Linked DNA regions of Schizosaccharomyces pombe. The protein of the gene in region 1 binds, or shares a complex with, the protein of each later gene. Each region holds a gene or a part of one and is shown on either strand. Other genes may lie near its edges. The genes, in order: mhr1, mrpl44, mrpl40 and mrpl12.

The links.
Region 2: mhr1 (region 1) and mrpl44 share a complex: the UniProt entries of both Schizosaccharomyces pombe proteins name them as parts of the mitochondrial large ribosomal subunit.
Region 3: mhr1 (region 1) and mrpl40 share a complex: the UniProt entries of both Schizosaccharomyces pombe proteins name them as parts of the mitochondrial large ribosomal subunit.
Region 4: mhr1 (region 1) and mrpl12 share a complex: the UniProt entries of both Schizosaccharomyces pombe proteins name them as parts of the mitochondrial large ribosomal subunit.

What each region holds. Positions count from the first base shown.
Region 1 is NC_003423.3:1,796,663-1,804,982, forward strand, and holds mhr1 (mitochondrial 54S ribosomal protein mL67 ), read right to left. Parts: upstream 4,629-8,320; 5' UTR 4,597-4,628; coding exon 4,069-4,596; 3' UTR 3,551-4,068; downstream 1-3,550. Other genes in the region: vacuolar membrane cation-chloride cotransporter Vhc1, read left to right, coding at 352-2,092, 2,139-3,550; SPOM_SPBC18H10.18C (uncharacterized protein), read right to left, coding at 5,694-6,031, 6,077-6,467. UniProt on the Schizosaccharomyces pombe protein: Component of the mitochondrial ribosome (mitoribosome), a dedicated translation machinery responsible for the synthesis of mitochondrial genome-encoded proteins, including at least some of the essential transmembrane subunits of the mitochondrial respiratory chain.
Region 2 is NC_003423.3:4,119,297-4,126,758, reverse strand, and holds mrpl44 (mitochondrial 54S ribosomal protein mL53), read right to left. Parts: upstream 877-7,462; coding exon 687-876; intron 614-686; coding exon 501-613; downstream 1-500. Other genes in the region: cnp3 (centromere protein), read left to right, coding at 1-190, 271-389; F-box protein Pof12, read left to right, coding at 1,178-1,324, 1,411-2,586; rpl1901 (60S ribosomal protein L19), read left to right, coding at 3,039-3,620; actin-like protein Arp10, read left to right, coding at 4,131-5,273; U3 snoRNP protein Utp20, read left to right, coding at 6,067-6,105, 6,171-6,257, 6,342-7,462. UniProt on the Schizosaccharomyces pombe protein: Component of the mitochondrial ribosome (mitoribosome), a dedicated translation machinery responsible for the synthesis of mitochondrial genome-encoded proteins, including at least some of the essential transmembrane subunits of the mitochondrial respiratory chain.
Region 3 is NC_003424.3:2,667,121-2,675,438, reverse strand, and holds mrpl40 (mitochondrial 54S ribosomal protein uL24m), read right to left. Parts: upstream 1,647-8,318; 5' UTR 1,460-1,646; coding exon 620-1,459; 3' UTR 501-619; downstream 1-500. Other genes in the region: ESCRT III complex subunit Did4, read left to right, coding at 41-340; SBDS family ribosome maturation protein Sdo1, read left to right, coding at 2,334-2,461, 2,656-3,268; Brix domain-containing protein Rpf1, read left to right, coding at 3,990-4,910; mrpl28 (mitochondrial 54S ribosomal protein mL40), read right to left, coding at 5,270-5,626; mrps12 (mitochondrial 37S ribosomal protein uS12m), read left to right, coding at 6,617-7,105; hxk2 (hexokinase 2), read right to left, coding at 8,256-8,318. UniProt on the Schizosaccharomyces pombe protein: Component of the mitochondrial ribosome (mitoribosome), a dedicated translation machinery responsible for the synthesis of mitochondrial genome-encoded proteins, including at least some of the essential transmembrane subunits of the mitochondrial respiratory chain.
Region 4 is NC_003421.2:1,158,531-1,167,411, reverse strand, and holds mrpl12 (mitochondrial 54S ribosomal protein bL12m), read right to left. Parts: upstream 6,957-8,881; 5' UTR 6,903-6,956; coding exon 6,868-6,902; intron 6,819-6,867; coding exon 6,332-6,818; 3' UTR 6,077-6,331; coding exon of another isoform or gene 5,420-6,076; 3' UTR 5,096-5,419; downstream 1-5,095. Other genes in the region: putative uroporphyrinogen decarboxylase Hem12, read right to left, coding at 1-39, 89-597, 645-669, 716-750, 808-853; SPOM_SPCC4B3.06C (NADPH-dependent FMN reductase), read right to left, coding at 1,622-2,224; protein Nro1, read left to right, coding at 3,362-4,543; Lsk1 complex gamma subunit lsg1, read left to right, coding at 5,420-6,076; ipk1 (inositol 1,3,4,5,6-pentakisphosphate (IP5) kinase), read right to left, coding at 7,286-8,881. UniProt on the Schizosaccharomyces pombe protein: Component of the mitochondrial ribosome (mitoribosome), a dedicated translation machinery responsible for the synthesis of mitochondrial genome-encoded proteins, including at least some of the essential transmembrane subunits of the mitochondrial respiratory chain.

The DNA.
Region 1 (8,320 bases):
CCATTTATTTGAGTAAAATTTCTCCCTTTCTACAAAACGTTTCACTCATAGTGTTCAGTAGTCCTATTTTTAACTGAGGTAAGTGTATTCGAGCATCGATGTTTTCAAGCAAGCTGGTAATGAACTTTCATGAATTGATAGTAATCTGTTGCAAAGTATTGTCAAAAAATTTTTCTTATATCACTGCTGATGGTTTTACTATATCTATGGGACCCCTGTTTCTATTACATGACTACACTCACTCTTCCTTACCATTTCCAATTTTTTTAGTATTTAATAACCTTGACAGTTCCTACCACAAAATTATTGCCTTCCTTATTTTATATTTAATGGGGATAATTTTTTGTGATTATGGCAAGACTTTTAACTAAATCAAGTCAAGTATTTGATTTTTTGGCAGATAGATTATCAGTACGAAAATCCAGACGATTTTGGGAAACACAGGAAAATTTAGAGTCTTCCACACCTTTATTACAAGAACCACAACAAAGTTATCGTAGTAATAGTTTTAATGAATTACCTCCGTTGTCTAGAAGTGTAACGTTTGCTGAGAATGAACAACCAAATGAAGCGGTGAAATTGGGAACGTTTGAAGGTTGTTTCATTCCAACTACTTTAAACGTACTCTCCATCCTTCTTTATTTGAGATTTCCTTGGATTATTGGAGAAGCTGGTGTTCTTAAAACATTGCTGATGTTATTTATTAGTTATGCGGTAGGTATATTTACAAGTCTATCGATCTCTGCAATTTGCACGAACGGTATGGTACGTGGCGGAGGTGCATATTATGCGGTTTCTAGATCTATTGGCCCCGAATTAGGAGGCTCAATTGGTTTGATATTCTATGTTGGGCAGATACTGAATACTGGTATGAATATTTCTGGTTTTGTTGAGCCCATTATAAGCATTTTTGGAAAAGAATCAGGCACTATTTCACAATTTTTACCCGAAGGATATTGGTGGGTCTTTTTGTATACAACTTGTGTCCTCGCAATGTGTTGTATTTTATGTTGTTTAGGTTCTGCCATTTTTGCTAAGGCCTCAAACGCCCTTTTTGTGGTTATAATACTCTCAACAATATCGATACCAATCTCTTCGATATTTGTTCATCCTTTCAAAGATCCTTCCTTACTCGTTCATTTTACGGGATTAAAATGGTCTACGCTGATGAAAAATTTAGCATCTGCTTACACAGAAAATGAGAAAGGAACAGGTTATGAATCTTTTAAATCTACATTTGGCGTATTTTTTCCTGCAACGGCAGGTCTACTGGCTGGCGCAAGCATGTCTGGTGATCTTAAAGCACCTTCTCGTTCTATCCCTAAAGGTACTATATCTTCTCAAGCAACGACCTTTTTGCTTTATTTGCTAGTAATTTTATGTGTTGGTGCCTCTGTAACTCGTACGGGACTTTTACTTGATATGGACGTTATGGAACATATTAGTTTACATCCTTTATTCATCATTTCTGGAATTCTTTCTAGTGGCGCCTTTAGCTCGTTTATGGGTATATTTGGAGCTGCAAAGCTATTACAGGCAATCGCGCGAGATGATTTAATACCCGGAATGTTTTTCTTTGCAAAGGGTTCTAGCTACGATGATATTCCTTATGTTGCAATTGGAGTGACTTACTTAATTACGCAAATCAGTTTATTTTGGGACATCAATATGCTTTCTTCGATGATTACAATGACTTTTCTTCTGACTTTTGGCTTTATCAACTTATCGTGTTTTCTGTTACGAATTAGTAGTACCCCAAATTTTCGACCTACCTTTCGGTATTTCAATAGACGCACTACACTGGTGGGTACCATCTTGTCATTTGGCGTAATGTTTTACGTTGATCGCTTGAATGCCTTTATCTCATTTTTAATTGCAGGAATTTTGGTGGTAGTCATATATTTCACATGTCCTCCTAAAAATTGGGGTGATGTGTCTCAAGGCATCATTTATCATCAACTTCGAAAATACTTGCTGCAAACTAATAAAGCAAGAGAAAATATAAAGTTTTGGAGGCCTCAAATTTTACTTTTGATTAACAACCCGAATCGGTCAGAAAATGTTATCCGTTTCTGCAATTCATTAAAGAAAGGCATGTATACCGACATTTTTTGACAATACTAACCCATAAATTATAGGTTCCCTCTATATCTTAGGGCACGTTATTGTATCCGATGATTTTCAGGCTAGCATGGATGATTTAAGAAAGCAGCAACGTCTTTGGCATCAGTTTGTCCTTGATCGAGGTATCAAAGCATTTGTTGAACTAACTATTGCTCCAGACGAAGTTTGGGGTATCCGTGGTCTTATATCTTCTGCAGGCTTGGGGGGAATTCGTCCAAACATAGCTGTGCTAACATTTATTAATACGAATTATCGTAGACATCGTATATACTCGGGTTCTTCTTTCTCTCTTGAGAATACTAGTGAAGAATCAGAATCTGACAGTAAAAAAGAATTTGTGGAGCATGATATACTACCTGTGAAGTGGGTACAGATATTGGAAGACATGCTTGTTGGTTCGGTGGACGTTATGGTAACTAATGGGTTCGATAGACTTAATTGGCCAAAAAGAAAGGGAGAAAAGCAATATATAGATATGTTTCCCATTCATAGAATATCAGGTGTGGGGTCAGAAGTCAATGAAAGTACACCAACGTTTGCGACGAATTTCGAGACGTATACTATGGTTTTTCAACTTAGTTGGATCCTTCATACAGCTTCAGATTGGAAACAAGGTTGTAGGCTACGGCTTATCACTCTTGTTGAATTCGAGAATGAAATAGAGGCAGAACGAGAAAGCATGCATCAAATGCTAGAAACGTTCCGTATCAAAGCCGACGTTGTAGTGCTCTGTCTTGCTGCAATGAATTTGGATGCATATAGGTACATTGTCAAAAATGAGCATGTGAGACCTAGCAAGTCTTCCGAGCTTGAAAACTTACTGAAAGATGACTCGTGGTGGCAGGAAGAAAAGAAAAGAAGAGGAAATACTGTAGATTCCTTAGGACCTATTCGTTTTCCACGTCGTATGTCTGGTTATAACTTTAGATCTGCCAGCTTTGATAAGAGTGCTCCACCTTTAAGTGTGCCATTGAGTTTCCGCCTTGGGCCACATATGCATTCAGTAAAGTCGTTTGAGACTGAATCTTCTTTCGGAAACCGTTCTTTATCACCAAAACAAGAAAATAGAAGAACTTATTCTGACAGTACTATTGAGTCATCTCTGATGCCCAACGTGGTCCGAGAAGATAGTTCATCTGATAGACTAGCACCAAAGAAAAAAATAGGAAGGGACTATTCTAAAGAGAAGTTGACGTTTAACGATTTATCCTCGAGATCTCAATACATAATTATGAATGAAATCGTGCTGAAACATACTAAAAATACTTCTGTATTGTTTACTGTTTTACCAGCACCTTTGGCCGACACTCATAAGAGCTTTCGAAAAAGCGAGGAATATGTTGATGACTTATTAATATTTATGGAAGGATTACCTCCTTGTGCATTAATCCACTCTAAGAGTTTAACTATAACTACCGCTCTTTAACGATTTATGGTATTTATGTCTTTGGTTTATAAAGTCTTTTCTTTTGGCATTGTTATAACTATTTAAATATTTGGTCCATGATTTCTATTTTAGATGCTAATATTTTTTTTTTATTCTGGACCAAACTTTAAACAAAAAAAAAACGAGGCAATAAAGTGATGAGTTAATCTTGCATATATTTCATAGGAGCTCGAAAACTTCAAAATGGTAAAATAATAAAGATACGAGTATTTGGTGTCGATTTGTATTAAATTTATCTTGTCTTGAGTATCTAGCCAATACTCTCGCATTGAAGTACAATGATAAGCTAAGGAAGCTGTCCAGTGCAATACACTGGATACACTGGGAAGAATTCGTAACCGTCTTTAGTAAAAAGGACTTTATCATTAAGTAAAAAAGATTGAGCTAATATGAATATGTGTTAGCTTATACTTCATATAATGCCCTTTAAGAAAGCCTAAAAATGGATGAGGGGTGTTTTTGAAGGAAGAAAGTGAGAGAAGTAATGATATTATGCTTCATCTAGCTTCGTCTACGGTTGTTTTTTCACGGAAACCTCGCGAGAGTTTAATTTCCTCTGAATCAATCTGCACACTAGGGGGCCAATCTGCATATTCACTATCGGATTTATCACTCAGTTGCAAACGAACGGAATTTTCGGGAAATTTTTCTTTATTTAAAATATCTGCCAAGTCCGCAATCGTGTTAGGAACCTCTTGTCGCATTATTTTTCTTCTACGAACGGGTATAGGCAATTTCAAAAGGTCACTAGTCAGTGGTTGAACAGAACGATATTTTCGATAGTTTAACAGTTGCATAAAAACAGATTGAAACATTGATTCATTAGGAAATTCGACTTTTAGTAAAGGAACCCAATGGTCTTTACGGAGCTTAGCGGGTCGCATACCATTTGGAGCGACTGGCTTTTGAAGTGGGTAGGGAAGTTGAAACAACGCAGTCTTTTTTAAAACATTTCCTTGAGATAAAAGTACCTGATTCGTTTGAATATGCCTAAATATATAGAGATACTTGTTCTTTTCAAGCATTCTTTCCTTTTACGAGTACAGATTGGCTGTTTACATATATGCTTGTAAGAGATGCGAAGTTTGTTAATAGCGCGTCCGCGTATAAACGTTGTGCCCAATAAACACATATCGTTTGCTAGCACAGATGTTAGGCAGCATTGCGCGTTGAGCAGCCAAAAACAGTAAATGTTTTAATGATACGGTGAGTGACGGAAAATTTGAATACTGGTCAGCTACGCAGTTTAATATCTATTTAAAGTGTCGCTCACGTATTTCGGTATCTGCTTAACGATACTTAAAGTGCAATGAATCTCTCTGTGACCTAATATATTATGTTACACAGTTAATATAAGCAGCAATTTCAATGGGTGTTCTCTGAAATAAATTATATTGTTACCTATGGACATAGCAAAAAATATTACTTTTCGCTTGGGCTGAATGTTGGTAGATTTTGAATACGAAAGATTTCATATAATACAAATTGAATAATTTTTTAATTCTTTTTGTAAAGAAATTGCTACTGACCAGGAATTGGGAAATCGCATTATTTAAAATAGGTTTTCGCTCTACACCAAATTGATTTTTCATTTTTATTTGTTTTAGAAACAAGTTTGAACTTATATTTCCTGTATATACTGTATTTTAAAGCTCCGAACACTTGAAAATGATATATGGAATCCTCATTTTATGCATTAAACAGAAACTAAGGTTAAATCACTACTTTGCGTCTTTTGAGTAATGCCTTACTTGTTCAATTTTTTAATTCGCAAATCTTACAAAGTCATAATTAAGGATTGTATATCAATTTGGTAAAACAATAAAGAGGATGATTAATTTATAATTGACAACCAGATTCATTAGTTAAATGACTTTTCCTAGCACCACAGAAACACATCGTGTTTACTCTATAACAGAGACAAAAATGTATGTATGGAAAAAGAGTGATGACTGTCATCGGAAATGATTAAGTGACAATGCGTATAAGGTAATAATACAAGAAATAGAAATAAAGGGGAAAAAAGGAGCTTCTGCAGGAAAGTAAGAAAATTAGTAATGAAATAAAAAAGACACTCGCAGCTGGTTGGCAGCCCCTTGATTTTTTTTTCTAGCCATGACTTTTAGCTGCTGCCCGATTCTACATCTTTAGAAGTGTTGCAATCGGTTCCCTCAGCCATTGTGTTGTCACTTGCTGGCTCTGTGGTAATTGCTTGGCCTCGCATAGACGACATTTCAACGTCGCCAGTCTCTTCATCTTGTTCTATTACTTCGAGCCCGAGAATAAACAACAGTAAGGATAAAATAATATGAGCCAAACCTTGAATTGCTTTAGCTACATATTTAACTAGGCCTGCAATCGTTTTAGCTACATGTTTAGCTAGACCTTCATTCGCTTTAGCTACAGATGGTGCATAAACATAAGCTTCTTCAAACGCTAATTTAATTAACGAAAATGAAACTAGAAAATCGTTAGCCATGAATTCAAATCATCTCAAAAACTTACAATAAACAATAATCACTGTCATCACGTATGTAAATATTAACACTATAGTTTCAATAACATATTTAACCACAGAATTAAGATCCGCCAATGCCTGATCGAAATAATTATAAAAATTATGATAAAGCAATAAAGTAAGAATGAAAGGAAGGAAGATATGAAATATCGCATATCTAGCTTGTGTAAGTCGCACATTTTCCGAACGCTTTCTTAATCTAGCAGGTGCAGCCATTGTATTTTTTTTTCGTAACGATGGTTGTGTTAATGTTGAGTTTTGTTTGACAATTGGATTGTTTACATGATTATTGACTGAATATGAAGGACAAGAATGTAAACAACCCTTCTCCAAATCATTCCAAACTTCATTGTATTGAGGTAACTTTTCGTCTGGCATTTTGAAGAGCCTTTTACCAATAGTGATTATATACGTTTGAGTTCCAACTTGAACATTGCAAAATAAAATGCGAAATTAAAATATAAAATAGATAAATAGATCAAAACCAAACACTTGAATAGCCTAAAAATCCACGCGTTCTAAGCATCCAACAAAAAGAGATGGCTCTTGTTAAGGAATGAAATTGAATCATTGTGCTGTCAATATCAATTTACGCACAAGTTAGCATTAATTAGGCACTGCGTACCAATACGCTATAATAGCGATGCCTTGCTTCGTTTTATCATACTTTGAAAAGTATGCAACACTAGTTATTAGACAGTGGGCTACACTAAAGACCGCTATAATGTTTTTGCATCGCGAGTTACTATTATGTTACATGTTTTATTTACTCTACTAGTTTTGCATGAATAGTTTATCCAAGATATTAAATTACCAATTATAATAAGATATTTACCAGTAACAATAATACTGATTTTGAATACTATAACTTGAAAATTGAATTGAGGAGCGAGGTTCAGCCATGAGCTATATCAGCGTTAGGTTACAAACAATACCGACATCAATAACTCAGGTTACTATGTATTCATACATCTAGTAATACAACAGATCATCATTAGAGCTCACCGCAATCCTACTTATAATTGAAGCAGATATCAAACTGTACATTTAAACAATTGTATAATTCATTAAATCATACCTTATTGGCAATTTACAACGAGACTGTAGAACTCCACAACAGGTTTGGAGCGAGTTAGTTCTGTTGAACTGTATTTTATACTATTTCCTATTTGTTGGTCGAGCTCAATAGATTTTGGTAGGTTTACTATATCTTTTTAGGTATCAGTTGTAACTACCATTCAATACTTTGTAATTCAAAAATCATTATGTTTATTTTTATAGAAATTAATATGTGCCGCTGTTCAACATCACCATTTTCTTGTTTCAGATTTAAAGAATTAATTATCCTGTTCTCCACGGAAGCTCTGAGTTTTAAGTCTGCACGTACTCATTGCCGATATTTATTTCAACTCAATAGGTATCATTACGGTTTGGAGAACCTAAAAAATCTTAAATTATGAATTCCAACGTAAATATATGAGGAAAATAAAGATGTGCCATGCTTTACATATTTTGAGCGAATCGACCAGCTATAAACAGTACTCATCAACACATTAGTGGTGAGCATACCGTACATGGAAAAGCAAAACATCCTTTTTTAATAATACAATTTTTTCTTATTAACTAAAATCCTTACCCGATTAGGTGGGTGTTGTTCATCCATTATCTGTGCTACATTTAGAGAGAGACCTCTTTCCAAATCGATTACACTTTCATTTTCTATGTTTACACATCACTCATTTGTAAATAGACCTTCTAACTGGACAATAAAATTTTCTCAGTTTTTAAATTAAAGAAATGGAGAGTATTATACAATATTGCATGAATTGAAAACATTGAAGCGAAAGAGCGTGAACAAGGATTTCATCCTAACTCGTAAAGCAAATGTTCATTCTGCCTCGTTTGACATATCAGACGGAAGTCAAATCAAAGTGGATTTAAATTATAAAATAACTTGAAGTTTCATTTTATCATGTTTGCAGATTTTATTTACATTTCATCTCCACATTCCAATTGTATGCACATATGCAATACCCACTGTTACTGGTTCCTTTCTTAACGAAAATTATCGCCGCATACTAAAAAATATTTAATTTGTTTATTGTGACTGTAAATTAATTTGTGTTTTTAGATCTTTTATCGGGTTTCTTCAGGACGGGCTTGATGACACTTCGATTGTTTACAGAATATATCTATAGTTAAATTATTTAAACAACATTAGCAAGTCCAAC
Region 2 (7,462 bases), 2.3 Mb from region 1:
GCCAGCTTGTTCAAGGAGGAGCCATCTTTTGCTGCTGGCGTCGTTGAAATGCCAGCAGGAGCAGAAAAACCAGTGAAGCCTTCGAAACACAACATAATGTCTTTTTGTATACTACAGGGAAAGATCGAGGTCACAGTAAATGCAACCACTTTTCGAATGAAAAAAGATGGAGTATTTATTGTTCCAAGGGGTAAGTTTAAATATACACATTTCTAAAAATTCAAACAGGAATTATACACCGAGAATGTGTTTTGACTAACATTGCTTTAGGGAATTATTACAGCATAAAAAATATCGGCAAAGAAGCTGTTCGACTTTATTATACCCATGCGACCGACACCTTGGAAAATAAAAGAAGGGGAATAGGGGATTTTCCAAACGAACGATGACAATACTAATAGTGTGTTATGGATTTCGATGTACAAAAGTCATTTAGTCGTTATGTAATTTAATTATCTGTTATCAATTTAATCATATTAATAAAGTCATTTTTTCTAAACTTATTTTTGCATCATTTCCTTAAATTTAAGCGTTTTACTGTAATCGTCAATTAATTCAGTTAGCCTACCAATATTCATTTTTGTCGGATCAACAGTCAACTTTTTTCCATCCTCTAAATAATAATTATTAGCAAAAGTCAAATCTAACGGTCGCAGTTAAACCATCTAGCTACTTAAAAGCCTTACTGTATACAACTTCAACAGATGGTTTTGAATTGGTATCCTTTGATGCAAGACTGGTAATGAGATTAAGTCCATAAAGAGAGTTGCTGGTTTCTTTACTGGCAACTGCTAGCAAAAGTTTCGCAGATTGACTAGCTTTGGAAAACGGGTTCACATTCAAAATTGACAATTTATTAATGTACCCAAATATCATGATTAAAAATTTTAACTGGAGAGTAAAGTCGTCAAGGAATGTAATTAAAAGAGATCTTTATGTGTAGATATTTTAAATACATTAAATGGTGGTAAGTTTTGTAAACGAAATGACATTTGGTAAGCTAGGTGACCGTTACCCTGATAGTCTCACTTCCTACAACAACTAAGTCAACTTGGAGATACAAACGAAACTAGTATGTCTCTATAATACAATTTGTCATTCCAATTTTATATAGAACCTCGGTTTCCGCTTGTGAAATATTTTTTCATGAACAATTGCAATTTTGATTTTATCCAACATGACTACCGATGTGAAGGCTAAAAACCCTGCGTCGATTTTCAGCCATGAAACCCTCCTTCACGTTCTTAATGATTTGTCTGCACATGACTTAGCTGCTTTAGAACGTGTATCTCGTAGTTGGAATTCAATTGTGCGCCGTTCATCGGTATGTTCTTCTTGACTTTTTAGTGATATAGTCGAATTTTCATGTTTTGAGAGACTGATTTCCATGTACTAACGACCTTCATACAGGTATGGCATAATTTATATCTCTCAGAATTTGGGACTAAGCATTTACGACGACATGGTCGCATTGAAAAAAAACGAAGGAATTGGAAAGGATTGTTTCGAAGGCAATCTAACTGGAAGGACGGACGTTGTAAAAAAGTAGAGTCTATGCTCCCTCAATTGCTTAATTCTGAAAAAAGCGTTGGAGAAGATCGTTTGGGGCTAACGCTTACACACCAAAATAATATTTATTTTTGTAATGACGTTCAAATATCAAAATGGAGCTCAGTTGGTAACAGTTTGAAATGCCAGGCTATTTCTTCTTTTAGAGATGAAACTGTCAAATCTGGTCCGGCTGTAATGTGTCTGGATAACGCCAGCCTTTATATTGGTTTAAAGGATGGTAACCTGCTACATGTAACGGTGCATGAGACAGGTTTCGGAAATATTGAAAACCTTGCAACATTCTCTACCAAATTTGTGGCATTATCATCGCATAAAAATTACATTTGTGGATTGACAAACGACAACAATTTATATATACTTCAGCATTCTCATCAAGCTGGAACCAAATTGAAAGTACTTGGTAAATATCATGTTTCAAGTATTGAAAAACAGGTTGCTATTCACTTTCAGCAATCAAAAGAAGGATATGAAGTTGTTCATGTAGTTTTTAATGATTATGTTCTATCTGGTGGATGGACCGTTAGTTTGCAAGAATTTGTTTTCAACGAATATTGCGTCAAAAGTAGTAGGCTTGCATTGCATGACAACAAAGACATTGAGTACTCTCAGCAACCTGCTTCTGCTATTTTTATGTATGGGTCCTATATTTTGACATCTCATCCGGACAATTCTTTAATTTTGCAGAGGCTTTATTCAACTAACAACGAATTACGGATAAAATTTTTAGGTCGTCTCTTAGGACACGTTTGTGGTGTTCAGATATCTAAACTATTTTCTTGTGGAAGAATTGTTTCTGTATCCAAAAACTGTGCCGATATTTGTGTTTGGGATCTTCATGATACAAATTATCAATCAATCGTATCTCCGCTAATGCTAACTTGCACAAACATCCACAATAAGCCCGTATCTGATTACGAAAAAGAATGTAAGGTTCAAGATATAGGACTGTATGAAGATACTATTTTGATAACCCTTTCCGACGGCAGAATATTAAAGTTTCTCTTTAATATTTAGAGAAAGGTTTCACTTTATCGTACATGATTGAATTCTAAATGATGAGTTTAACCATAGTTTTATAATTTTATTTATATTATTATTATTACTTAGATTGGATTATTAAGTGCCTTTTCAAGGTTAATGAGCCTCAATATACTGTATTACGAGTATCTGCTATACCTTTCAGTTTGCATCCTCTAAAATAATGAAACACAATGTGCATATTCGGTAACTGATTCAACGAATGTAAGGGATAATTTTAATAATCATATTTACTTCAGTCAAAGCATTTGGTAATGTTAATAAATTTTCTAAATACTTTTTTTATTCTTTATTCGTTGTCATTGTTCCTCATAGCAGAGTACTGAATTATCACCCAACCCTACCCTAAACGTGACTGCCCCAAAAACAAAAGAATTGACCACGCCTGTTTAAGAAAGATTGTCCGTCCACCAAAAACAGCAAGAAAAATGGCCAATCTTAGAACGCAGAAGCGACTTGCTGCATCCGTCCTTAAATGCGGCAAACGCAAAGTTTGGATGGATCCTAATGAAATCAGCGAAATCAGCAATGCCAACAGCCGTCAAAACGTCCGTAAGTTGATTAAGGACGGTTTGGTTATTCGCAAGCCTAACTTGATGCATTCTCGCTTCCGCATTCGTAAGACCCATGCCGCCAAGCGTCTTGGTCGTCACACCGGTTACGGTAAGCGTAAGGGTACTGCCGAAGCTCGTATGCCCTCTGCTGTTGTTTGGATGCGCCGTCAACGTGTTTTGCGTCGTCTTCTTCGCAAGTATCGTGAGTCTGGCAAGATTGATAAGCATCTTTATCACACTCTTTATTTGGAAGCTAAGGGTAACACCTTTAAACACAAGCGTGCTTTAATTGAGCATATTCAACGTGCCAAGGCTGAGGCCAACCGTACTAAGTTGATCCAAGAGCAACAAGATGCTCGTCGTGCTCGTGCCAAGGCTGCTCGTCAACGCAGAGCCAAGGCTGTTGAAGAAAAGCGTGAGCAACTTTACACTGCTGCCGAAAAGATTGAGGAGTAAATGAATATATTTTCCCCTTTTGAACTGGAATAGCATGATGATGATTATTTTTGTTTTTTTTTCAAGCGGTAATTTGTGCCTGATTGTAGTGGATTTGCAATTGTAGCTTTTTTTGTAAGCAATTATGTTTAACGTAACATAGCAATTATTCGTATTTCTCTTATCATATTCTTTGTAAGTTGCATTATAAGTAAATGTGTATTTAATTCATATTATTTTGTTTATACATATAAAGTTTGAGTTAATTTAAGTGTACGGAATGCGTTTGATTAGCCGTACTTGTTTTGTAAACACACGAATGTTTTGAGTGCATTTCCGTAATACATGTATTCTTTGTAAATAAAAAGCCATCCACTTTTTATTCAGTAAAACAATTTGTTTAAAAATTGTCAAAGTACAATTATTGAATAAATATCAAACCCTTACATTTCTTTTGCCAAACCAAACAAATAGCGACAAGAGTTTTTTTAACATCACTGCTACTAAATTGAATTCCGAGTAATTATTTTGATGCGAAAAAATTGCGATATTAGCACCGTAGTGGTGCAAATTGACGAATTTGGAATTTACATCGGAAATGCTAGCGATAAAGAGCCAACTTGGAAAGTAGATCTTGTTCCTTATAAACAAAGCTGGGTCCCTATATCCATTGTGACAACTATAATTCAAAGATACTGCTTGAACACATTTAACTGTCTAGCTGAAATAGTACGCGTTGTATTAGTATTGGACATTTTTGTTACAAGGAAACAGAAAAAAGAGCTTTGTGATGGATTATTCAACACTTTAAACGTTCCAATCACGTTGTGGATATGTGCACCATTAACAGCGATCCTAAGCACATCAACAAGAGATGCAATAATTGTGGATATCGGGATGAAAGAAACAAAGTTCATCGTAATTTTAGACCTTTGTATCTTAATGCATTATACAAAAACTTCAAAAAGAAGCTTAAGTACGGTTTTGGAACGTATGGCTGACTGTTTTAAACTGAACAACAAGAAAAATTCTCAAAAGCTATTGGAAGATGAGGAGTTTGCCGTAACGGAAGCATTAATGAAGTCTCTTTTAAAATCAAGAGTACCAAGCAAACCGACTGAAGAGCTCTATCAATTAACAGATCAAGAAGCTTACTTTCGGTATTCGGATATCTTACCCTTAGCTGAAACAACTTGTCAAACAAATAAAACTGAACGGGGCTCAAGCTTTAATGACGCTGAAAAAATTAGAGTTCCATCTTGGATCGCCAATGCAGGCATTGAGGCTCTCTTTGAGGGTTCTGATGCTGGAGGGTCGGACATAGCAGACCAAGCCCTTCCTAACGTTTTACTATCTCTGTACCGTATTCTTCCAATTGACATTAGAAGGATTATGTCGAAGTTAATTGTTTTTAATGGGATTCTTCCTTCGCTTCCAGGTTGGTACCAGAGATTTCAAAATGAAATGACATCTCGTGGACTCGCTATAAAAGCTGTACCAGGACAGACAACTGCAGACATGATGGCATGGAATGGAGCAAGCACTACCTGCGAATCACAGTTAGATTATGACCCGGATGATCCTAAACATCTTCGTCATTCTATTGTTGAGTCGCCATTACTATATGGCCAAGACCAATACTTCAACGGAGAAAATGCCCCAGAATGGTGGTAAAACACGCATACGATTAAACCACGTTCCTCCCTTAAATTGTAAACATCTTCAATATTAGCTATCGTATTCGAAGTGGTGCGAATACTTACTAGATTACATAGCTGTGTTTTAAGTAAACCATGAAATTTCATCTAAGAGAAGGAAATAAAAACAATGTAACAAAGATTTAAAGAGGGCCGAATTTCTTGTTAAAGGTATGAGCTTTTTACAGACAAAACCAAACATCTCTAGTAGTCCTTTTGTATCGACGTACAAGCAGCCGTATATCGAGGACCAAAGATTTCTCTTTATGTAGAATCTCAATATTCATATTTTTACAATTGATCTAATTTCAACAATAGGCAAGCAGCCATAAACCAATGCAATTGTTTGGGATAGTATAACAAATTCATGATTCGGATAGCATGTAAAGTAATGCCTAAATCCTAACTCCCTGGATATTTTATATGAACGTCAAACACCAAATGAAATTTATGGAAGAGCAACATAACTGATGATTTTAGCCAGCAGAGAGAAAATGCCATTTCAAACTGTTTTTTGAGCAAGCTGTATTGATTCAAAGTAGTTGTTACCTTAAGAAAAAGAAAATTAGCAATTTATGCTTGAGTTTAAAGAATTCTAACAAAACATGTTAAATGTTTACAGCTGCTAAAATATACTTCGATAACCAAATATACTGCCTTTTGGTACATTACAGTATTTATATTCATTTGTTGAATAGGTTACAGGCAAAACTTTGTAGAAAGCGCCAACTTGTCATTATCTAGTGATACGCGCACAATTCTCCTTGGAAATGAAAGCTGCGGCGCAGAGCAATTCCAAAAACTATGTTGTATGTACAGTTGTCTGACTAAAAACTTTTATTGAATGTGTACAATTGCTAACACTTAAAATCAGTTTTTGCCTTTTTCCAAGAGAGTTGAAAATTTAAAGATTGATGTAGCTCATAAAATCCCTAGAGCTGCTGATTTAGAGGATGAAGACGTATGTTCACAATTAATTAGCAAAAACAGATTTAAAGTCTGAAGTGCTTTGACTCCATCTATATGTATGCTAACAATCGTTTAGGTTGAGTCTTACTTTATTTCATGTCTCAGGAAATGGGAGGACTTGAATCTTTCAACCCACTATGTAAACTTTCTTCGTAGTGTCACTCCATACTCACAGTCTTTACCTCAAATAGTATATCATCAAAAAACAATTTTTGATCTTATTGTACAGTATGCTCGTGAAGGAGATTCACTGTCTTTACAGCCAATCTTAGAATTATTGACACAGTTTGCTCGTGATCTGGCACTGGAGTTTGCAAGTTATATTGATCAAACCTTAGAACTACTCTGCATTCTCGTTCAGAATAACGAGTTGGAAGTTGTTGACTGGTCTTTTCATGCTGCTGCTTATCTTTTTAAATATCTTCGAAAAATTCTTGCACCCCGTTTAATTCATACTTATGATATTCTATCCCCTCTATTAGGTAAGGAAAAGCAGAAGAGTCATGTTACTCGTTTTACCGCTGAGGCTTTATCTTTTTTGTGTAAAACAGTTTCTTACGAGAATGCAATTGAGTTTACTGGACATGTGTTGCTCGATCTAAACGATCACTATACTCCTCAATATCACGAGGGAGTCGTCATTCTCTTTTCAAGGATAATACAGGGCGTTGATACGAGTATTCACTTTAAAGGAAAAGCTTTTTTTGAAATCCTATTACGATCTGAGATTTACACCTTGCCAAGGTCTAAAAGTGTGATAATTCCTGTCTTAATTTCTACAATTCATCATTGTACTTCAGATTCCTTTAACGAATTAGAAAAGTTAATAATTTCTAAAATAACCGGTGAGCCATTACTATATATAAATTTATTTAAAGCTACGTTGGTTACCAGAAAGGGCTCTCGCGTATCTGATTATCCGTCTTTCTTTAAAGCCTATTTGCAGATACCCAACTTAGTCAGCTGGGAAAATATAGAGTCAGATCTTTCAGTTCTGATATTTGAAATATCTGCTCTTCTTTTTGTATATCCCCAAATTTCTGATTTAATGCCTCACACGGTACGCATTATTTCTTTTTTACAACAAGGTCCATTACACTTGTTTTTCTCTTTTGTTGATGTTGTGAAACAGCTAAATATGCAACGGTATGATTCCTTCATTAAACCATCTCTTCCCAAATTTATTTCTTCACTAGT
Region 3 (8,318 bases), on another chromosome or scaffold:
CACCTTAATATCGAAAAATATAGAACTAACTTTTACAAAGTTATTGACAGGGATGAACAAAAGCATGAATATACCGGCAATGGCTCGTATCACTCAGCAATTCGAGCGTGAAAATGAAATTATGGAACAGAGACAAGAAATGATTGATGAAAATATGGACGATGCTTTAGAAGAAGATGACGAAGAGGAAGCTGATGAACTTGTCAATAAAGTGTTGGATGAAATTGGAGTCGATTTGTCTCAAGGATTGCCAGATGCTGCGACCCAAATTGGTACGGTACCGGAGTTAAAGACTGAAGACAATTTACAAGCCAGATTGGATGAACTGGCAAAGCGTTAATTTTCGCACAAGAGATTAATGGACTTTAAAGATCTTGATTTGTATAGATTTTCTACATTGATTAGTAAAAGTTTTTCTAGGTTAACGTGTAAACTTCAAATACTTCACTTTCATTGAAATCACTTATCACTTACTCTACTAAGTTAAATATATTTAAGTTTCTTGAAAAATTTTTTAGAAGAGTTTACAAAAGTTTATTAAGCTTTATAACCTAGAGATTGTGAATCATTATGTAATGTTATAAAAAAATGCTTGCAACGACCAAACATCGTTTTTGTTTTAATCACTGTAAGTATTAGGAGAGATGGGTTTTTTTATTAAATCTTCAGCAGCAGTCTCTGCTCGGACAAGATCTTTAGCAATTTCAGTAAAATCATCATTGTTCTTTTTATATCCCCATATACGATCTAAACGGCGAGACCAATTGGCTCGTAAATCGCCAATTGCAAACGGAGGAAGAGGAGGCTCCGATAAGCTAGGAGACCAAGTAACTTTACTAACTACTGGATTCTTAGTATCGAGTTTACCTTCGGGATCTTTAGGCTTATCTTCAGTCTTGGGACGAGGAAGATGAATAGTATGAATTTGTACTCCTTCAATATTAGGCCGAATAATGGACCGGAGATTAGTTGAGGAATGCTTTTTAAGCTTAACTGGAATAAGAACTGGTTCCCCGGCGTCAGTCTTTGCATGCGCAAGAAGACGCACATTTGCATAATGTACTTCGTGAGCAATATCAATTACTGGATCTTGGTTATCTTCAGGCTTATTTCGCAAAAGAAAAATTGGTACTTTGACGGATCTCACATTAACCCCCTCTATGGTAATACCGTTTGTGTATTTGTTTGTCTCAACAACACGGCCCCATTTTCCTTTCAGAGGTCCTTGATGAACATATACATAATCCCCTTTAAAAATATGCCAGAAAGGGACTCTGTCAGCTGGCTTTCCAAACGGTAACTCGGGTTTAGCGGATTTATCGTCTTTAACAGTTGGATCAGATTTATTGAGGTGTTCGCGTATTTTGGTTCGCATATGCAACGGTAAAGGCTTTTTCATTTTTAAGACGTTAGTACCAGGGCCTCGGAGCCTTGGAATTAATTTACGCAAGTCTCTCATTCTGCTCAAAAAGTTTTATAATATTTAAATAACTAACGGTGGTACATCACTTGTACAGAGGAATTTACTACGCTGTAATGTTGGAACGAAAGTAAAACCTCTAGACAGGATAAATATGGCCAAATATAAGAGAAAAAATAAGAATGCTATGAAACAGTAATGTGTATCCTGCTGGTAGTTTGCAGTTGTTATTTGAGTACTCTCTTCGTCAATAAGTAAAGAAATGGATCATTGTTACACAAAGGCAACTTTGCGATACGTGGTTAAGTTTCATTATTTAAAATTTGCTTTTGCTTTTGCACGCAATATTCTACAGCTTCGACATCGTTAACCAACATTAAAATGATGTGTACTCGTTAAGACAATGTCATTCTATCTATTTGTTTATAAGTTTAAAATTGAAAATGTTAAGCGAAATCGTATAGAAACGCTTCGCAAGTGGTTGTGTTAATATACTAGGATGTAAGATTGAAGTTTTGTCGGATAACTCAAACTTAGTCGATACTTCTATTGTTTTCTACTTTTTTTTTAGTATTTGCTGAATTTAGGTAATAATTTTTAAAAGCCTAATATCATTCGTGATTTGTAAACTGGTTTAGAAAACCCGACAAATAACTTGCACTTATATTAAATATTTAACCATAAGGTTTTCCAAGATTATGTTAACATCCGAAAAATGATTGGAACCATCCTTTTGCCTTTCAGGCTCGCAAATATCAAATTTTTGTTTAATTTTCAGATAAATCTAAATACCGATATATAGTGTATGGATTGTTAACCTGTTTAACAGATTTAGGCGTTGGATTAAAACACTATAATTAGAGAAGGTGAGAATAACAAAAAATAATCCAAAAAAGTACCCATCTTGAGCAAAATGGTTATTAGTCAACCTGTTGGACAAATTCGTCTAACCAATGTGTCCGTTGTAAAATATAAGAAAGGAGGGAAAAGATTTGAAGTTGCTTGTTATAAAAATAAAGTTACAGAATGGAGAAACAAAATGTATGCATGATTTCATTAAATTAAGCTACTGTAATTAGTGAGAGTCAGCCTTTGCTACAGATAAATATTCTTTAAGATCAGCAGAAAATTATAACAAGCTATCTTTTTGAATTCACGTGTCTTGTCGACTGGTGTCAACAACTCAATAACTCGTACAATTTTTTTTGATCAAAACCATAGCTAACCAAGTTTAGTGAAACAGATCTGGATGAAGTTTTACAAATCCACAATGTGTTTAACAATGTTTCTAAAGGACATGTAGCTAGCCGACAGGATTTGAAAAAGGCTTTTGGTACAGATGATATAGATAAAATTATTTTAGAAATTTTGCAAAAAGGAGATTTTCAAGTAGGTGAAAAGGAAAGACATCATCAAATGTCTTCAACTTATCGCGATATTGTCTCCCATGTTACTGCGATGTGCATGGATCCTAATTCTAAACGACCTTATCCAGCATCTATAATTGAAAAAGCATTATCTGATTGTGGCTTTTCTGTCTCTACCAGTAAAACTGCAAAGTCCCAAGCTCTGGAAGCTATTAAGAAATTGCAAGAAAAAAACGAAATTCCTATCGTCCGTGCGCGTATGCGCATCAGAATAGTGGTGGATGTCAAACAGGGAAAAGCTTTACGAGAGCGTTTACGCTCTTTAGCTGATGAAATTGAAGAAGAAAACATTGATGATGAATATGAGTGCATAGCTCTCGTGATTCCAGGGAATTATAAGTTGATAGATGAACTTGTCCGAAATGAGACCAAAAACCGAGGTATGGTTCAAGTACTCGACATGAGCGAGGCTAGGACTTAAAAAGGTATACAAATAACCTTTCTGAAAATACGCTCTATATGAATTCCCTAATCTGTTTTCCTCCTCCTTTTTGCTTACATTGTTCATTGGCTTTTGGTTTTGAAAAATTTTGCTATTAAAAGACACGTTCTGATTCGTTCTGGTTATCCAGAACATTATTTAATTTATCAATATAGCAATTCAGTTCAGAAGAAAGTAAAAAGAAAGTAAAGAAATGAAATTAAAAGACTATCGTCCCTTTCATTTCTGCTAGTTCCATTCAAAGCACGCATTCAAATGTGAAAATGAAAGTAGCGTGAGTGATTTGTAGAATGTTGAACCCTTACCACAATGCTTTCAGTTGTTCAACAATTTAATGATGAGGATATCTATAGTGTACGATTTCGGATTGTAATATCACCTATTTACAAACAGTAATTGTAACTAAAGTATACATTTTGCTTAACAGCAGTGTGATATAATACTGCGTTAATACTTTTAAGCAAATTTGACGAAATTCGTAGCATGTTCTTCAGATTCGGTATTTTGCGACATGGAATTGGATTGTGCAATAAGTTTTTGAGACTTCAAACCCATCGTATACTTTTTTTTAACTCTCTTTTATTTGTACTTAAGTTGCTCATTCTTATCTCAATTTTTTTTAGTTGCAATTTTTTGTAAGGATTTAAATTATTTCATTCTTAAATTTTAAATTTTGAGAGATTATACGCAACTTATTAAAATGGGGAAGATTAAAAACAAAATTGTCCGCCAACAGCAGTATATGAAGGCTCTTCATCAAAAAAATAAGGACAAGCTTGAAAGAAGAAAAGAACGTGCTAAAGAAGAAGAAAAAGACCCGGAAAAGAAGAGATTGCGACTTTCAGAAAATATTCCCGCTACTATTGAATCGAAACGAGTTTATGATGAAACTATCATAGAGGATAAACCCGATGAGGAACTTCAGGCGGAGTTAAAAGATGATGAGTTTTCTGCATACTTTAGTGAAGAAAGGAAAGTTCCGAAACTTTTGGTAACCACGAGTAAACGAGCCTCTAGAAAATGCTATGATTTTGCATCTGAGCTTTTAGATTGTTTTCCTAATGCTGAATTTCGAAAAAGAACCGGAGATATTGAAGTTCATGAAATCGCAGAAGCCGCTGCTAAGCGTGGTTACACCGATTTACTGGTATTAAATGAGGATCGTAAAAAAACAAATGCATTAACCCTTGTACACTTACCGAATGGCCCTTCGTTCTATTTTACCTTATCGAATCTCCAAACAGCAAAGGAAATTTCAAATCATGGCCGCTCCACTGGTCATATTCCAGAACTGATAATCAACAATTTCTCAACGAGACTTGGTATGACTGTTGCTCGAGCCTTTCAATCATTATTTATTCAAACGCCTCAAATTCAAGGGCGACAAGTTGTTACCATCCATTGTCAAAGAGATTTTCTTTTTTTTCGAAGACACCGTTATGCATTTCGTGAAAAATCGAATATGCCAGATGGTATTGGAACTGGGCTACAAGAATTAGGTCCTCGATTTACCATGCGTCTTCGTATGGTTCAAAAAGGAGTATGGGATAGGAAAGAAGGGGAGGTTTTCTTCGAGAGCAATGCCGGTGAAGAATCAGATAGACGTAAATTCTGGCTTTAAAGACATTTTGTCTCATCTGCGACACGTTGTAAAAAGAAAACAGTGTTTGGGTCATATTTTATTGTTTTCGAGGTAGGGTTTGGGTTTGGTAACAATTCTAAATTTTTGGTTAAAAAAGAAAGCATGGCCTTTCATTTTGTATCATTCGTTTACGGTGAAATTGGGAATGAATAATATGATACATGTAGACTAGAAACTAGGAGACATAATTCTTTAATTCAATTATTGGTTTATTTAAAAATCCTAATTAGATTATACTTGCTCGTAATTAGTGATACATTTTTTTATATACTTGAACTTGTCTATAACACTTTCGAGCACTACCGAAGATATTAATTATACTCATAAAAGGCGCTCGCCTATTTAGAAAGCCGTGGTGGTGTGTCCGTAGGAGTCCTCGTTTCTACGGGGAACCTCCTGTTAATTGAATCGCTCATTGCGGCTTTATATAATGTTTCACTCGTATGCTTCAGTTCCTCGCAAGCAATTTTCATTGCAGAGAATTGGTTTTTTAGAAGATTCTCTCTTTGTTTTTCTTGTCGATATTCGTGTATACGCCAAGCGCGATTAATAACTTCGTGTTTTTCCCACATGTCTGGATTCATTTTCAAAGACCTGACTTTTTTATTTCCGTAAAGAGCTTTTCTAACCAAATCGATTGACTCACTATGATTAGAAGGACCAGATTGGTGCTTTCCCTTTGAGGCCTTAGCCATTAATTGTAACGTAGAACGCATCTGCCAAAAAACTTTTCAACACAAACTAAAGTACTCCTTGAATTTTTTCACGTTGATAGAAAAAAATTTAATTTTCAAAAGTATTAACATAAAACCTTCCTTTAAAAGCTAAAAAACCTGAGTAGAGAAAAATGCGGTAGTAGTAAACGTGTTCAGTGGTATGAAGCTAATTAAGAGAGTAAGTCGTGATACACTAGGAAAAGCCACCAGTACGATATTTCAAAAAAAGAAGTGTTTCATCAAATCCCCTTCAATTTCACACACTGATAAAAAAAATATAGATTATAATTCGGAGTTCATTTAATTGTTTCTGAATTTTCAGTAGCTAAGCCAAACAAAGCATATGCATTTATGGAGATATGTAACCAAACGAAGACATTTAACAAGTAGAAAATATTAAGTTTTAAGTCAAAGCTTTATATGGAGTAGGCCTGATGCTCAATTTTTCTGCTAAGTTTCATGTAAGTAGTCAAACACATTGATAAATCCATATCAGTGTTTAAAGTTTTAATGAATGGATAAGTTATTGTAATAAATACTATCATCAACTGAAAATGGCATGGCAAAACGAAGCTTAAACCTCAATACAATCTACTTCCAGTACGTTTTTCAGTAGAAGTCATGAATTAAGTTGATTTTTTCAGCTTAACACTGTACTGTAAATTTGTCGATTAGCATACCTACATTCTGCATCTGTTTTAGACTAGTCCATTAAAGTTCAATTCCTAGAGGAAAAAATATTTAATACGCTAGTTATACCCAAAAATGTTTGTCAAAATATAAAAGAATAAATTTTTGTATCCCATCGAATAATATGAATGCTGCGAGATATTCTATTCCAAGGCAATATACATACACTAACACCAAACCAGCGACGTTCGGGTACAAACTTCGGAATTCCTTGCTCAAGCATCTATTATAGTGATTTTTGAGATTTTATACAGCTCAAATATTAAATTTCCCCAAATAATGATCCGTTTTGCTCAATATGCTCGATATCCGGTAATTTCAAGGTTGATGAAGCCAACAGTTATTTCACCATTTCAGGCTCAAGCGTTTTCTAGCTCTTCAGTTATGTTAAAGACATTAAATCAAACGATAAGAAATAAAGAGAAACGTCCTGAAAAAACAAATAAGCAATCTGTTGCTTTAGAGGGAAGTCCGTTTCGACGGGGTGTGTGCACGAGGGTCTTTACAGTAAAACCCAAAAAACCTAATTCGGCAGTAAGAAAGGTTGCCCGTGTACGCCTTTCAACCGGCCGTTCTGTTACTGCTTACATTCCAGGTATCGGTCATAATGCACAGGAGCATGCTGTGGTATTGTTAAGAGGCGGCAGAGCACAGGATTGTCCAGGAGTCCAATATCATGTTGTTCGGGGTGTCTATGACATTGCTGGTGTAGCGGGACGTGTCACATCCCGAAGCAAGTATGGAGTAAAAAAACCGAAAGCAGCCTAAACTTCATGACCTCAAAGACTTTCTTTTTCGAAAACCATGATATTCAGAAACGTTATCTTTATAATTATTCCACCTCCTCTTTTGATATCGATTCACAAGGACCTTATTAAAATGACTGAAACAAAAATTTAAATGAGAAAAAAGTTGAGTCAACCCATTTGTCATTTCTCGCAACCTTGCTTCTTGTTGCAACTATACATATTCAATAATCATTTACTCTTGCATGTTTAATAAGCAATTTTTTAGTTGAACTACATCCCCTTTAAACATACAATCATCAAAAAAAGGTAAAAAAGATTGTGTAATTAGGCAATTTCCAGTTATCTAAAAAATTAGCAAATAGATAATCCTTTTGGTTAAAATTTAACCAAATCTATCTAAACAATGATTTATTAAAATGAGGAGGATTTTCTTTTGAGAAATCCTTTTGGAAAGTTTTCTACTTTTTTGATATAAGCTCTTTAAATAAATTTTAAACTTGAGACGCTTTCAATTTTTAATTTGTTCAATTTGGTTTTACTACCGTGCTATTTAATTTTTAACTCTTGAATAAAGTATAAAAAACACCTTTTGGGTGTTGGAAAACGCTTTCCGGTTCTTATTTATATAGTATGCAGTATTGCTAGCACAACTTCACCGTTCAACGTTGCAGAAAAATTTACTAAACGATGAGAAAAATATTTTTTAACAAATCTTGGTTAATTGGATTTCTTGAAAGAAAAAGAAGATTTTATCTTGAACCCGAATAATTCATAAATTTGAGATAATAGGGTATGATGAATCTTATTTTTTACAAACTCAGATTAAAAAAAATCAAATTTCTTTTTGTTAGAATCAATTTACACACACATCTTTGAGATGTCCTGTAATGTTTGTAAATTCCGTACTCTTTTTTGGAATGTTAACAAAATCGTAACAAATTTAATAACAATACACAACCACAATTTTGTTTTAAAGAGACATATAACATCAATCACAACATGCTTTTTAATTCATCTGATATTCAATCTTCATACTATTAACTAATTCCAGGAAATAAATTCACTTTCAAAAAAAACATCTTAACTAAAAGCTGTTAAAAAGCAATTTCATATTTACATGCTCATTTCTACGTACAATTCAAAAAAAGCTAACAGACATCTAACATGATTTAGGCCAAGCCTTTCTTTTCCTTAACAGCTTGGAGGGCGCAAAGAGCGGCACCAATACCACT
Region 4 (8,881 bases), on another chromosome or scaffold:
GGATAATTCACCAGCCCAGGAATCAAAAATTTGAAGTAGCTATATATTATTTGAATTAGTATAGAAAATAATCAGAGTTAACTCATACCTGTGCTCCAGCGTATACTTGCTGTATCAGATATGAAACCGTGGCATCGGTAATGATTTTAAGAAGCTTGTGGGAAGCCTCGGGGTACCGAAAAAGCCAAGATTTAGCTTTTGCAAAAGTTTTGGAGCCACCTCCTTCAATCATGTAGGCCATAATAGTCCAAGGAGCACCAGAAAATCCCATCAAAGGGACCTGTCCATCTAATTTTTCGCGAGTCAAAGAAATTGCATCCATTACATATCCCAATTTAGCCGAGATGTTGGGAGTTTTTTCTAAAAGGTCAATATCTTCAGGCACAACCAGAGGTTTAGGAAAATGCGGCCCTTTTTGCTCAAGCATAACCACTTGCATCCCTAATGCTTGAGGGATCACTAAAATGTCACTAAAAATAATTGCTGCGTCAAGCAGACCTTTAAAGCGGGTGACTGGCTGAAGTGTTAGCTCACACGCCGTTTCAGGTGTTTGACACATCTCAAAAAAGCTTTGTTTAGCACGAAGCTTATGATATTCTATGGTCTCGTTAGTGCAAACGATCAAGTTTAAGTCGTGCACGTACCAGGAAGATATCTTCCAGCTTGCCTCTAAAAGAACGTTAGCAAATTTATAATCATCTTTTTTTTTACATACCATAATCCAAACAGGAGGACGTTCTACTTCTTCTCCTATTATTTCATAATGTGAGTAAGCGCTTACAAATTGCTAAAGCGAAAGTATAATACCCTTTGCAGCCCTAAGAATCAAGTCATTTTTCATTTTTGGGTACATTATTAATGCTGAAATGACTATTTAGAAATAATGTAAAGATAGTAGGAATGTGGGAGACAAGAGAAAGGATTGCGCTAACCAGAGATCGTATCACCATGTAAGAAAATAGGGAACCACAAAAGATTTGGCAGAATTAGCAGTAAATTCTACATTTTCTCTAGTCAAATCTAGTTAATTTGTTTAGATATTTCATAGTCTCGTGTATTGAGCCGTTGTCTTGAAAACTAAAATCCCTTCAAAGTATACCTAAAACCGATAGTATTGTAGACTGGTATAAGGTTCAGAGGCCTGACTACCCGAGACCATATCATAATGCTTATAATGCATATTATTCATAACGACTACATGTGTGTACATATTTTCTTGACATGTTAACAGTCAAAACAAAGCAGTTTTTCAAGTAGTAATTATGTCCTTTTTCTTATAAACGAAAAACACGAATAGCTTCACTGAAATTGTATTAAAATATAATTTTAAAGGGAACTTTTACTGCTGAACAAATTCGTATTACACAATGACTGAATATGAACCGTGTTTACTAATACATGCGTGCTAAAAATCCTTCATTAGGCAACACGAACAGCAGGAAGGATTAAGGTATTAGAGTCCATTGGTAAGTTGATATGACAGTAATAGATCTATCCATGTGAATAAAATCTAAAACCAAACAGATTTACTGGAAAATTGGCTTTTTAAAAAAAAACAAAAAACAGACTTTATTAAATGCACTCTATACTAGCTTTCAAAATACTCTTATGTTTTAATTATCTAGGGTTTCCTTTCAGGATTGCTTTCAAACAACTGAGAAAACTCACCGAAGGCTTTCTTAAGTTCACCAAGGTGCTTTGTAAATTCAACCGCTGGGTCGACTACACCTTGAACAATTTTATCTCTGGGTAACGTGAGCGCTGGCATGGTAGGCGCGACTCGCATCTTAAGAAAACCGGCAACATGTTTTAGTTGCGAAGCACAATCTCCTCCTCCATGGCCACCATAGCTTACAATCAAAAGCGGTTTTCCATTCCACTCGTGATACAAGTGGTCTAAGGCATTTTTAAGGATTGCAGGATATCCACCATTGTATTGCGGAGTTACAAAAACAAAACCATCTGCTCCAGCAATTTTGGACCCCCAGGCCTTAGTATGTTCCTGAGTGTACACATCTATTCCCATAATTGGAAGTCCGGGTTCATCGCTCATAGATAGAGGCCAATCAGTTAAATCAACTTTTTCGTAGTCAAAATTAGTCTCTCTTTTTCCCATCTCACCAACCCACGTTGCAATAGTTGGACATAAGCGTTTGCTGCGAACGCTTCCCATAATAACCAGGATTTTGGGAGTAATCTTCAGTAATTTTTCAGGCAAGGTCATGATGTTAATAATGTAAATGAATATCTGAGTATTCTTTTACTGTGTGAAACAATGTAGTGCTTTTATAAACTAGCATGTTGTTATGTCCGAGCCTCGGACATGACTAATTGTTCAAGATAACTTAGTAATATTAAAAAAATTAGAAATTCTGTCATCAAATGGTAAAAAAGGCTTTATTTTGTTTTATAATTGGCTAACAAACTTTCAATTTCATCTAGTACATTCATCCTAAGTACTTATTACTTCGGCACCTGAATCAAGTAATTTATTGATATGGCGACCGAAATATATATACTAGTGCTGTATTTTTAAGGTGCTGGAGCAATCTTGGTCCATTACCATAAAGCAGCCGTTTAAAAAAATTAAAATAAACAAACTCGTTGATCAGATATCGTTCAAAAACTAAGAAACGAATTCAAATTCCCTGCCAAAGAAACGGTCAAAACCACATAAAAGTTGCGATTTCGTATTATATTATTGTTTAATAAAGATTAGCGTTACATTACAAAACTGCCAAATCTTCAATGTTATCTCGTGCTGGCAATTTTGTATAGCACCTTTTTGCGCCATAAGCCCTAAGAAATATTGCCGCATTTTGAATATCATAGATCTCCTTTACAGAAACCTATCTTAATCAATTTACTAAGTTAAATTTCGGCTAGATATGTTTACTTCAATTGCTCTAGATCCGCTGAAGTCATAAAGCTTTACTTTCTTCCATCTCCTTTTTAATTTTGCTCTTTTTTTTTAACAATGAAAATCCAAAACGTGTTAATGTATCTTGCTGCATAATTAGATGTTTAAAATAAGCTTCCCCTTCACAATTTAAAATCATCAATTTTTGTAAACAAGTCAATATGTACGACTGTATTACGAGCCTCTATACTTTCCACTAATACATTTTAACATGTCAAGTTCTCCAAGCTTCTGGTAACTCGTTTTCCACAGCCACAAAACGACGGTATTGTTTTTGTTACGCCATGCTCTTATTAGGTTTAACGCACATGGCCGACAACGCAACAACAATACCACATTACGTTGTAACTTGCTAACAAGTTTCCCGCGCGATTTTTGGGTAGAAAAAATCACTCGATGTCAACGCTGCCTTAGCAAAACAGGTTAATTTAACGGTTCGTTATGATTGGAAGAAGACCTCAAGGTCTACGCGCTGCTGCTTCTTTAAAGAAGCAGCAGCAGCTTGAAAAACAAAAGCAAGAAGCCTCTTATGAGCTGTCAGGAAACTCGTCTCCTAGTAAGGAAAACGGAAGCGAAAATGTCGACAATGGAGAAATGGAGGATGAGACAATGCTTGTTTACACAGAGGAAGACAATATTTCACAACTTTGGGGTTTATACGAGATGAGTCGCGAAAAGTTGGAAAATGACGATATAGATGCTAGTGTGAGCCTTGTCTTTGGTACCATTCACGAGGCTGATAGAATATTACGGAATACCGAGGACATTTCTACATTACCCAAGGACTTTCACGCGGCCTATTCCTCCGCTCTTTTGGCTGTGTCCGAGCTTTTCGAAATTGCACAAAAGCGTCTTAAGGAAACCAATACCGAAGAATCCTACATAGATGCTGCAATCGAGAGAGCTCAACTTGGCTTGGATGCTCCTGGCAACGAATCGAGACTTTTCCTTGCTCTTGCTCGTGCTTACCTTGAGAAGGTACGTGTTCTTGTTTGGCGTCACGATAACGAGGAATCTCTTGCCAACATCCCGGTCACTCAGTTGGTAAACCCATATATTGAGAAGGCCATCCAATACCTTCGTCCTCTTGCTCAGGATTCCACTGAATATTTTGATGCTCTTACCCCCGATTCTTTACGCCCATTATACATTCTCTCTTCCTACCTCTTTCAATTCGGTGATCAATTCTCTGAAGCTTTTCTCCTTGATGTCTGTTCAATTATAACTGCATTGTGGTTAAAATCTGTTGTCGATCCCAACACTCCTGCCTATTATAAGTTAATCGCTCAAGAGGCTGTTCTAAATAATTATACTACCTTCGCGGAATATTATATGGATTTGCTCGACAACAGTGAAAGTAATGTAGATGACCTAATCAACAAGGCTTCCAGCTGGCTCAACAATTCTGTCGATACCTGGAATGTTATTTATACTCTGGATAAATCTCCTGAACGCTTGTTAAAACTTGCGGATATAAAGATGGATCTGGCTCAAATTGTTCAAGACGAGGCTAGTCAGGATAATTACTTGAAGGAAGCTTGCAATGCTATCAAGGAGGCTCAAGGATCAGGTGTTGAGTTAAGTCCTGATTATGTTGAGTTTGTAGAAGCTTATTCTGCTTAGGATCGCTTTTACTTGCAACTTGACGGGTGTATTTCCATTATATCATTATCCCGTTGTTATATTTTTCTCCTTGAACAATACATCCTGCATTTTTTTTCTCTTTTCGAGAGTATTTTTCTCCATTATATTTACTTTTTAGGCAAACCTTATAAGTTTGTCGCTGGCCATTTTAGATTTCAAAGCAGTTCTTTATTGAAAGGAAATGTTGATTTTGTATGTACGACTTAGTAGAGCGTATAAAAAAATAAAAATTGTTTACTGATTCATGGGTTTCATTTTACCATATAAGTAAGGTCGGTTTTTGTGCTTTTATTAAAGTATAGTAGTTATTCTTTCCCGCTATTTATACTCAGAGATCCTAACAGTTTGGTGAATGGTTATAACTTTATCAGGGCTATATAAAAATATCTTTGAAAATTTACTATTTCGCTGTTGAAATTACTAAAAAAGTAGTATTTAATAAAATGAGATTTTAGTTTCTTTAAAGGTACAGTAATAGTGTTTGAAATAAAGTAACATGCTACTTAAAGCAACAGATTTTGCAACATGCTAACAGTTTGAAGACCTCTTAATATTACTTATGCACTGAGTATATTTTAATTTATTTGAATCTGGAAAGGTTCAACGTCCTTTCGCAAAATAGTATCCCAACGCTTTTTTTAGTCTCAAATTTCAGAGATTGCAGCTTCAAGAATAGATGAACACTTGGCAAAGGAAGTTTATTCTATATTTGAAATTTAAGACAACACACATTATTATTATTTAAAAAATTATTCTTGATGTTTTTGGAATTCAAAGTTCACGAAGTATAAGAAAAACCATCATAACAAAAATCGTTGTTGCACTCGCAATTACCAATATACTTGCAATAATAAAATGGATCCATTTGAGGGCCGCATGACATTTCTACAGCTTTTGGGAAAATTGAATGCATCGCAATTCTCTCAAATTAAACCCGCGCAATTTGCAATTAAGCATCTAGACTTGGAAGAAGACTTATATTCATGTATATGGGAGGAACTAGAGTCAGGTTCGTTCAATACAAGAGTGAATATCATGTACTTTGTGGACACACTCTGTGAGATGTGCTTAAAAAATGGCCTTACAGGTGGATATCTTAATATGATTAGTAGAGATATCTGTAAGCTAGTCCAGAACGTAGCTCCTATAGGAGCTGCTGGAGCTGCTAACGCTCCAGAGGTTAGAAAAGTACTCCAGTCTTTGCATGAAAAGAAGGTAATCGATGATAATCAATATAAAGATGCTATGGCTACGGTAGAAGCCCATGAACAAGCGAGCAAGTCAGGTGATACCAGTACTTCAGGAGCCATTTCAAAAAACGACATTCTTAAGAGGATTGAAGAAGACAGAGAGCGACACAAAAGAATGCGTGAAAACATTTGGGCTATTTCAGAACCAGAGTTAGAAGCGGAAATTGCATGGAACACTACCCAAGGAATTACTGAAAGCGATTTGGAATCCCTAAAGGATGAATACGAAAAGTTTAATGAATGTCTTCATGCAACTTCCTGAACCGAAGAGCGAAAACATAGAGTGTAACCCAAATAGAATAAAAACATATAATTAACTAATAATTTTGGAGTATTTTATACATTACCTAATATCTGGTTTTTTTAGAGATGATGAATTTTCCCTCCGTAGCTTAGTTTTTATGGGAATCCAAGAAAGTAAATCGTGTCACAATGTCAAAGCAATAACAAAAAGGTTGCCCAAAGAATTTGAATGGCGGAAAAGCATAGAAATGAAATTTTTTATAAACAACCCAGTTTATTCGAGGACTACTTTACAAGAAAGTTTCTCTAACTTCGATTTTATAGCTTCAGCATCCTCTTTCAAAATATTTTCTTTCAAAACCTTTGGAGCACTTTCAACGAATTTCTTTGCGTCCACAAGAGATAATCCCAAAAGAGACTTCACCTCTTTGATCACCTTGGCTTTCGAACCAGCATCAAACGATTCGAGTTTCAAATTCCAGGTGGTTTTTTCCTCTTTCTTTTCCTCAGGAGCTTTCTCTTCAGAAGGAGCGGCTGAAGCTACTGCTGGAGCCACTGCTGCCATCGGAGCTATTTCAGCAATGTTTAACTTCTCCTTTAATTGCTTTACAAGTTCAGACGTCTCTAACAATGATAGAGAGCTTATTTTGTCAACCATTTCCCCAATTTGGGCATTATTGTTTTGTACAGATGCGGCAGCTCGAAATGATCGCGTGTTTACCAACGATCTTGCCCAGTTCTTACTGGAAGATAAAGCACGTCTTTTAAAGTTAGTATAAATTTGTTAATTAAAAATAATTACAATCTTACAGATTTCTTGTTTGGCGTGATGCGATGCGAAACATGCTGTATTTTAAAATTATACTTGAGGTGAAGTAAGGTGCAAGTGAGATGGGGGTTGGCAAGTTAAGTATAGTAACTACAACTTTTAGGTGATCATTCATCAAATATCTAAAATATGTTCAATGGATCTTATTAATTTTTCATTAGTAATAATTAGAAAATAAACTAACCTCGTAGTAAAAAATGCTCTAGAATTATTAAGTGTTCAACAGTTAGTTGAAGAGAACAAATAAATCTAACCCTTTATTTTTATGCTTTTATCTCCCTGTTAATTATCAGGCATATAACAAATAAAACAAAAATGCATAATGTATTGAAATATTGCAATAAATCCACAAATTGATGGTGGTATTACATATTAGAAAAAAAATTAACAATGAGATAATTACTTTATGCTGCTCCGGCATGCTTTGTCAGTAGACTTCATCCCACGACCATAGTACCAACCGCCTTCAATCAAATTCCTTTCATCACGTTCCCATTTAGACATTTTGGTATTCATGTCTTTAGGATCTAAATCTAGTAATGTTATGTGATCTTTACCAATGTATAAAGTCACATCTCGAAGGGTCATCGCTAACGCAACATCAGTACGAGAGTATTGCTCTTGTAGGTCACGAAGCTTCCGTAGTATACCAGACTGAAACAATCTCATTGCGATATCAGGACTCACAAATCCTTGAAGACAGCACAAAAACTTGGGCCAATTGTTGAAATCAAGCTGTAGAGGACAAAAACCAACGGGTCTACCACGCATACGGCTAAGGGCACACGTTCGACAAACAACCCAGTCAGGTGGAGCGGCAGGGGACTGAGTCAACCATTTTGGTTTCATTTCAATTCCATCTTTGAGATCTTTCATTACCAAACAGTATTGCTCATTTAAATTTAAATAAATACCAGAAGCATTTTGGGCCGCCAGCAAAAAATCCCTAGTAACTGGCTGCAAAAAAACCTCAATTAAAAAGCTTTCCATTCCAGCAAACAAAGGATAAATTACATTTTGATAGTATTCATAAACTTGTTCTGTAGTAAAAACCTGTCCTCGACGTCGAAGACGAATTACCTTGTCTTGAAAGTAAGGATTTTTACCAACATACTCAAACACCACATTCGCACTTCCTGAGGCAAGGTATGCCCATTCAGAAATCACCAGGGATTTACCGGTGGAGGAATGATTGGAGATAACGGATGTTGGTGAATAAGGTGCAGGGGATTTAAAAAGCGGATTCGATATAATTGGAACTTGAAAATTACTACTAGCAACCGATTCATCTTGGGACTCTACACCAGAAGAAAGGGCTTTCATGGATGGAGGACGCGACATAATTGGAGTTGAAGGAGTATGTGTGTCAACGGGAGAATTTGTAACAGAAGAGCTAGCGGTACTAGCCATAGGCGAAAGGCTTACCTGAGACGCTGAAGTATGCAAATTCTGAGCGATGAGAGAATTCATGGCATCAATTTTTCCAGCTTCCCACTCTCTATTTGATAAAACATCACCAGATTTTGGAAGTTCTACGGGAGGACGGTTGTTGTTTACGGCAATTAAGGAAATGCTTTCAGCAGCCTGGCAAACTGAGGAAAACTCAACGAGCCACGTTTGGGGAATATCGTCTTGAAAACAATCCCAAGGGCGAACAATGTTGTGCATTTTTCGAAACATTTGAAGTTGCAAGCAGTAAAAATGCTTCATAAGTTGTCCAAAAAAAACACGACTTTTTGCAATAAGAGTTGGGAAGGACAAAGTTAAATGCTTCTGAAGGTCATCCAATTCACCATTGACACGGACAAGCTGGCTTTGTAATGCTTTAATTTTACTTTTTTTGGTTTCAGGATCAGGCAATTCGTAAACAACCAATAATTCTTTTTGAATTTTTTCAAGTTCTTTTACTTTTTTATCTCTTCTTTTAATCATTTCAACTGCCTTCTTTACATAGCCTTTGACCTCCTTGCAAGGAGCAATAACTATGACATGGAA